Linked DNA regions of Ovis aries. The protein of the gene in region 1 purifies or fractionates together with the protein of each later gene. This does not show direct contact. Links are inferred from orthologs where the notes say so. Each region holds a gene or a part of one and is shown on either strand. Other genes may lie near its edges.

The links.
Region 2: the proteins of GPATCH2L (region 1) and CSNK2B purify together in Homo sapiens (co-immunoprecipitation; 3 studies listed by BioGRID and IntAct, with this or other methods). This does not show direct contact. The link is inferred for Ovis aries from reciprocal best matches to the Homo sapiens genes GPATCH2L and CSNK2B.

The regions. Positions count from the first base shown.
Region 1 is NC_056060.1:85,681,093-85,684,904, forward strand, and holds part of GPATCH2L (G patch domain-containing protein 2-like), read left to right. Parts: exon of another isoform or gene 1-1,414; intron 1,415-2,375; coding exon 2,376-2,536; 3' UTR 2,537-3,812.
Region 2 is NC_056073.1:26,713,172-26,717,583, forward strand, and holds the start of CSNK2B (casein kinase II subunit beta), read right to left. Parts: upstream 2,871-4,412; 5' UTR 2,746-2,870; intron 2,146-2,745; 5' UTR 2,135-2,145; coding exon 2,063-2,134; exon of another isoform or gene 1,346-2,062; coding exon 1,243-1,345; exon of another isoform or gene 735-1,242; coding exon 619-734; exon of another isoform or gene 172-618; coding exon 96-171; exon of another isoform or gene 1-95. UniProt on the Homo sapiens protein: Regulatory subunit of casein kinase II/CK2.

The DNA.
Region 1 (3,812 bases):
GGCAGTATATTGTCTAGTTTTACATCTTTTTGAAGCTTCTGTAAATGGAATGTCATATTTTATAAGTTACAAGTTTCACCTAGTTCTTGATTCCATTCACATTTTATCCTACCAGAATCCATTCATTATTGCCATATGTATAGTATTCCATTTCTGAGCATGATGAATATATTACAGGTAATCATTCTTAATAAGCATTTCAGTCATACTCTTACGACAGTCATATTCTTGCTCTTATGCTGGTTTGTGCTGCCGGGGAAAGTATTGCACCATTCTGTGGGAGAACATGCGCAGAAGTTTTTCTCGGCCATTTCTCAGTTCTTACGATGGCTGTATCAAAATAAGCAAACAAACACAAAAAACAGCATGTGTTGTTTGAAGAATGTGGAGAAATTGGAAAGCTTGTATATTGCTGGCGGGAATATAAAATAGTGCAGCCACTATGTGTAAAGATCTGGTGGTTCCTCAAAAATTTAGACACAAAACTACCCTGTGATCCAGCAGTTCTGTTTCTGGATATGTATTACCCAAAAGAATTGAAAGCAAGGATTGAAATAGGTATTTGTACACCTGTGTTCATAGCAACATTATTCACAGCAGTCCAAAAGTAGAAACAACCCAAATGTTCATCACCGGATGAGTGGATAAAGAAGATGTGGTCTATACATTCAACAAGTTATTATTCAACCTGAAAACTTTCATTATCAGAATGAAATTATGAAACACGTTACAATATGAATGAAGGCAATGTGTTAAGGAAAATAAGCCAGACACAAAAGGATGAATACTATTTGATTCCACTTAGAAGAGGTACCTGAAACAAATCAAAGTCTTAGAAACAGAAAGTAAAATGGTGGTTGCCAAGGGCTGGGGGAGGAGGAGAATGGGGAGTTATTGTTTAATGAGTAGAGAATTTCCATTTGGGATGAAGAAAAAGTTCTGGACATGGGTGGTGGTGATGGTTGTGCAACAAGTGTGGATGGACTGAATGCTACTGAGGAGTATGCTTAGAAATTATCAGAATGGTGTAGTTCATGTGTATTTTGCCATAGTAAAAAAAAATATATGTAGCCAACACAAAAAGTTTTTCTCAGATAGTTTTTTCCCCATGGTTGATGACCTTGTGGTATTGGTAGGTACAGTTTTTATGAAATTTATTTTCACTTAAATTAGAGTGAATGAGCATGCGTACTTGTGTGTGAAAAAGAGAGATTTGGGTGGTGATGTCATATGTATTTCTTGCTGCTGGGGTTGAGGTTCTGAAATAACTGCTGCCCTCTAAAAAACTTGTATATGTGCCATAGAGTAATAGCTTTCGATATTTTTTCCTGGTAACTCACAGTAAGAAATTCATGTTTGAATATATATTGGGTGTAACTGTAAAATCTGAAATAAACCTTTGGGTTCCCTCTGATATTTTCTGTTCTTTTTCATCAACGGAAAAAAAAAAAATGTGTTTGTCATGACCTACTACATTGGTTTTGTGACCCATAATTTGAAAATTACTTTTCTAGATTATATTCCTGGGAGTAGAATTATTGTGACAGGATAAAAATGAAATTGTTAATGTTTTGCTTTATTTTAGTGTGTATTTGTTTTCAGTAGAGTGATGGTGGTTTGTACTACTCTGCTCAGGGGGCATGTGCAAATGTGGGGGCAGTGTTGGGTTGTCACAGTGACTGGGAATGCTTTGAGCATTCAGGGATAGGTCCGGAAGGGTAGGTGTCCTAAAAGAAATAGGACAGCCCTGCACAAGCAGTGGTCATCCTGTCTAGAATGTCTTAATGTCCTTGCTGAAAACAGATGGCCCGGCTGTGTAATTTTTTTGCCTTACTGTTCAGTGTTTATTCATGACACTGTCATATTGGAGGCATGGAACATTATAGAAAGAGCAGAGGGCTTGGAGTCTAGTATATGAGTTTGAGTCTTGCTACTTAAACAGCCGTGTCTCTGAACAAATTATCTGCTTTCTCTATGCCTCAGTTTTCTGACCCAAAAAATGGAATGGCAATACCTATTTCTAAGAGTTTGCATTAAGAAATAAGATTGTAAGTATACAGTGTTTATATAGTATAGTTCCTGGCATGTAAATGCTTCATTAAGTGGTTATTAGTACATTAAGAATTTATACTCCTGAACTTATTCATTTGTTCAATTAAACCTATTTTCTGATGTGGAGAAATACTTATCATACTTAAATCTTGCCTTTAGTTTTTGGTTAAAAAAAAGAAGAAGAAAGAAACCCTATTTAGCTGCTTGGTTTAATAGGACATAAAATATAAGGATTAAGAAAATTTTGTGTTGACATGCCTCTCATTCTAATTTGTCTCGCTTTGACTTTTTTCCTCCTTATTTAACCGCAACACCCTTACCAGTTCACATGGATGCAGTGGAGTCAGCTACACCAGCGTCACAGGCCCCCAAACCTCCAGACTCTGAGTGGCTGGTCAGGACCTCTGCCGCAGAGAAAGCCACTGACTCAGCAGCAGCTACGTTTTTTAAAATGCCACAGGAAAAGAGCCCTGGTTACAGCTAGACCGCAGTATTTCACCCACCAGGAGCTGACTGGATGTTGTTGAAACAAATATTAGACTTTGTATTATATTGTCTTGCATATGTTAATTGACATTCCCAGCCCTTTTGCCATCAGGACTGACTCCTCTTCAAACAAAGAAGTGAACTCTTTCTCTTAGAAAATCATGTTGTGCAAATCTTTTTTTTATTATTATGAAGTATTGAGACTGCAGTTTTTTTAAAAAAAGGTCATCCAACGCTGTATATGTTAAATTGCTATTGTTGTCCCAAGTTACCTACAGCCCTGTTTACAGAGCTGTTGATTTTTTGCAGATATGTCTTGTTTTTCTTGAAAAACCAGTAACTGCTTTTGCCTATTTTTTGTGTAGTGCTTTTAATACCATTTGAGGAAGTTCTAAATTTGCAGCCAGTTCCAAACACAGAATTAAGACCTGTGTGTGGAATTAATTTGCAGGAGATAAGGCTTGCTTTTGAGCCTTGTCTTGATTCAAGCAGAGTGCCAATAAGATAAATTCAGAAAGTTCTTAATTTGAAGCCTCAGAAGAGACACCAGCAGCATGGGCCTTGGGAACTTACTCCATTTTTCTAGATGGCCTATTGGAGTCGCCAGCAGCTGCATTGTATGTTGCCTCATCTCCAAAGTCTGTATTCTACCAAAAGAGGATCTATATATATACATTCAGATGGGTGTAATGAAGAATACATACAGATGGGTCCTTTAGGTGTACAGCAAATTTAAAACAGTCAGTGGATTGTGTCTAAATACTTCATGTCACGGTGTAAGCTTTTATGTACTAAACGAGACTTTACTGGTAGTATTATAGTCAGTAACCTGTAGCAGAAATTCATACTTTATTGTAATAATGGCTTCTTGGGGCCATACTTTGGGGAGGGAAAATGTCTTTTCGACATGACTTTATACTTGGCGTGTTTACGACGGCTTAGCTGCCTGTGGAGTTATATATACAGCCATGCCTGAAGTTGGACGATCCTTTGTCAAAATGAGGAATATGTGACTGCCTACAGCTACTGGAGGAAAGCCACCCTTTCTAAAAAAGTATCCAGAGTGTCTGTCATCCCGGGACCTGGTTGGCAGAAGAGCTCTCTTTTGGTGCAAAGTGAGTGCTTTTACTCTGAAATGCGTAGGAGCCGTTCTCAAGCGCTCTGGTGGCGCTCTGGAGCAGCGCGTGCTCGGCACCTGGCGGGACAGAGCCTCCTCTCCCTGAAGCGCCCTTGTGCCTCTTCTCACACAGAACGTAAGGGTGGGCCGCGCTCTC
Region 2 (4,412 bases), on another chromosome or scaffold:
TGCCCAACCTCCCTCCTGGACTCAGGCCCCAACCTGCTGAGCCCCAACTCCATCCCAGCCTGCCATGGCCCTCCTTTCCCTTTCCCAACACTCACCGATGGGAAGCATTGGCTGGTTCTCACAGTACACACGGGGACAGTATCCAAAGTCTCCCTGCTGGTACTTTTCCAACTGATGTGAATGAAATTGAAGGAGTTGGTGGGTAGGTATGAAGAAAAGAGGCAACCCCCTCCTCAGCCCAATCCACATCACTGTGTCCCCAACTCCTTCTGCCTCTTAATGTCCAGAGGCCCCTTCTCTGGCTCAGATGGGCCTTCAGACTCCCCTGCTTCCTTTCATCCAGTCAGGCAGTCTGAAGATCATCAGACATTCACTGCTTATTCCCTGAGGAAGAGGCAGTCTACAACTTTCTGCTCTAGGTCACATCTCCCTCCCCCAAAACACTCCCTTCACCTCAACCCTCAATCAGGTCTTAACCCCTAGGCCCAGATTCTGGGGTTCTTTCCCCTCTTCTCAGCTAGATTCCGTGACAAGGCTGAAACGAGTGACTTCTTGCTGATGGAAACTCTGCTTCCCTGTTGCCTCTGAAGGAACCGAGTAGGAGTAGAGAGGCCTCACCATCTGGGCGATGCCACGGTTGGTGAGGATATAGCGGGCGTGGATCAATCCATAGAGCATTTCGGCTGCTTGCTCAATCAGGTCACTCTGGTTGGGGTTGTCTTCCAGCTCCTCATCTGAAACATGGCACCAGCCAAATGCAACCACTTGTCTTACAACTTTTTAAGGTGCCCTGCCTACTCCCAGGGGCTGCTGGCTCTTCAGCCCAGCACCCAACTTGGAGCCTCACCCCACCCACAGCCTGGGCCTCTGCCCCTTCCACCAACCCAAGGGTTTCTTTCCATCCCTCTCAGCCTCTGCTTCCTTCTCTTTTTTAATAAATAAATGCAAAGATGTCAACACAGAAGATAGAACTCTAACCTGGAAGGGGCAAGGAAGAAGATAACACCCATGGAGAAACTAGCATTTTCGATAAGTGCTAAGTTATAGGATCAGAGTATGAGAACAAGTGTAGAAGTCACAAAATTAGGCAAGAGTGAGGTATGGAATCAAAATGAAGTAAAGGATTTGGGGTTAAAAGGGTTAGAGAACCAAAAGGAAATTTAGAAATTCATGAAGCAGATAAACAAGGTGTGAATAGGAAAAAAACAGCACACACACAAAACAACCCTGAGGGTGTCTCACCAGGCTCCAGGTCCAAGATCATGTCTAAAGCTTGTCGATAGTGAGGCACCTGTTCATTGAGTCCAGTGAGATTGAATTTGTCCTGGATATAGTCTTCATCCACCTGTCAGGACGTGAAGTCAAAAGGAAACCCAAAGCAGAATCCTCAGCTTTGACCTGGGCAGGGTGCTCTAACTCGTGCCTTATCTTCAACACAACTGCTTCATTCCCTTTGTTCCACACTCCCAACTCAGCAGAAGTACTTGAACCTCTCTCCCTAGTTCGTGTATACTGCCCACCCAGAAGAGGTCTGGCTTTTTTCTCCTAAACATAAGCAATCCCCTCCTTACAGAGGCAGTCCTTTCAAGATCCCTGTCCTGATTCCTGTTCCTAGCTCTAGGAATCAGTTTTGGCCTCTCCTGAGGGGCAGCTGGCTCTCTGAGGAAGGTGGGGGCTGAACAGCTTGGATTCTGAAGTCAGTTACACTCCCTTATGTTAACACACAGCCATGCTATAAAACATTTTAACGTGAAGTGTTTTAATTCTCCTAATAGCTACCAGAAATACATACTATCAGTACTTCCCTGGTAAAAAAAAAAAAAAAAAAAAAAAACAACACAGGTTGACAAGTCCAACATTAGGCTGTTGGAGGGTGGCAGGGTTGACTTGGGGTCTCAGTCTTGACCCTTCACCACAAGTTAGAGAGCGCTACTAAGGAGACTCCTCCTTGACAAGAGTTTTTACTAAAGTATGTAAGAGAAGTGTGTGGAAGCTTTATGTGCAGGAGATTATGTGGCCAGATTACATGTGGAGGTGGATGGTAGGGTTGAGGAGAACTCACCTCACAGAAGAATTCATTGCCACGGAGCCCACAGAACCAAGAAATCCAGGACACCTCCTCTGAGCTGCTCATCTTCACGTCGGCTAGAGACAGAAGAGTATAAGCCTAAGCTCTCCCTCCCAACCTCTGGTATCCTCACTCCTCCCACACTTTGCCCTCAAACCATGGAAGAATTTGGGGCTACCCTTTTCTTAAAGAACCCGAGACTGGAGCACGTCTCTCTAGCTCCTCTTATTTACATTCCAGCCCCTTTTCACTGAGATTACATAGAGAAATTCTTCGGGGTCCACCAGCTGTGAGAAACCGACAGGTCTTGACCCCACTAGTCCTACCTCCATCCCTGACGCTCCTGAAAGCCAGGCCCCTCTCTCCTCCGTGTCAACTCCGGTAGGGCCGTGGCTCAAGCTCCCTACCCCCGCAAGTCTCTGGCCCCATTCTCAAGGGTTCCGAAGTTTATCCTTTCCAAGCAAGAGCTGGGCCCTCCTTTTCTCATGGCCTATAGGTGGTGGTCAGGTCCGTTTCATAGAAGTCCCGACATCCCGCCTCCACCCTTCGGGCCACCTCTCCTACCCTCGGTGCCGGACCGGGTCATTTCCTTTCCCACCCCCACATCAAGACGCGGAGACCCCATGTGCCGCGCCCAGGGACAGGGGACATGGCGCGGCGACGACCACCACACTCACCGACTGGACGGGGACTGGGACCGGGGGACGGGGAGGGGAAGGGGAGTTTCTGCTTCCAAAGACCGCGACGACGGCTACAACGCAGGCCGCGGACCCGACCGCGGCAGGCGAAGTGGGGTGGGGGGAGTGGAAACTGGGGAGGGTGGGGAAGAGGGCAACGCGCAAGTGCTTAGAGTTAGGAGCCGCGGTGCATGCCGGGAAATGGAGTCCTTGGGAAGAAGAAACTGACGAAACTAGGGAAAAGCGAACTACAAATCCCAGGATGACCCGCGCACGACCCTGGTGTCACGAGGCCCCGGGGGAGGGGTACGCTGGGGGCGGGGCGCAGCAGGGCACTGCGAGCCGCCACCGGAAGCGGAAACTCAGTACCGCGTTCTGGGCCAGGTAGCCTGGGAAATATAGTCGTGTGATTCCGGGGACTGCAGGGCCATGGAGGGGAGGGGGTGGGCCGGGAGAGGAACTAGGCTGGCTGGTTGCTTCTTGCTTCTCCCATCAAACAGCGAGCCTCAGGCCTCGGCGAGACTTTGCTGCCCGGGGCATTGACCTCATCCCCAGCCAGCCAGCCCTCCTGGCCCTTATTGCCTTGCTCCTTGGAGTCAGCCCGCCAAGGAGACCCGCGACGGGGCCCTTGTTTCATCCGGGGTTCGCGCAGCGGAGGCGGGAGGTGAGGCCGGGTTCCATGCTGAGGGTCCTGGGTAGGGTGTACTGGGATGAGCTGAGCGGTGTGAGAACCAGGACGGCCCCGTGGGCTAACCTGAGGTGGTGCCAGCCATTCTGCTGCTTGTCCCCTTGCACTTCTCCATTTCCTCTTAGGGCTTGAACGGGGCTGCTGTGGGCGCTAAATGCGACCTTCGAACCCTGGTCAGAGTAATGGTGAGGGGCTGCGTGACGTTATTTCATTTCAGGGTTTCTGGGCATTCTCCGCCTCAGAGCCTTTTTTAACCCTGAGAGTGATTTCCCAGGTCCAGAAAATGAGCTCGGAGCGGGGGCCACGTTGAGGGAGGAGGCGAAGGGCATTGTGGGGGCGTTATGTAAAAACAGAACCCCAACCGACGGATCTTTCTCAGTCCTCGCGCTGCCCCGGCACGTGGTGCGTTGTGCTTCTGCTATGGAAACATTCCAGGGCGGGAAAAACCCGGCGCTAGCGCGCGCCTGCACCCTCAGGTGTTTTGTTTTGTTTTGTTTTGTTTCCCCGGCCACGCATGCGTCTTTGTGCCCTGTGATTATTTGTCGACTCCTTTGCTTAGAGTAGCGCCATTTTGCAGTACGGAAGCTATAAAGCGACACAGACTGGAACCTCTTCCTGAAAGCTGCTTCCTGCTTCCGGAGACGTGTCGCGTTTGTTTTTGTTTGGGAAGAACTTACCCTGAAATAGGAAGATTTAAAGAGCCAATTTGATTGTTTTTCTTAATGGTATGTTTTACGCTGTGATAAAGTTGTCTCAGAGAGGCTGGTATTGTTGGTGCGGATGGAGGTAGGGGCGGAGCGCACGGTCTGGGCAACTGTCTTACGGAGACTTCTTTCTTACCTTTATTGAGGGGCATTGTCTGTTACTGACCCTACAGGGTCCCAGGTTGTGGGGTCACTTTTGGGTTGGGAGGGGATTTTTGACGCTAAGGATACTTTTTGTTTATCTCATTAGGTGTCTGGAACTGGCTCTGGTCGCT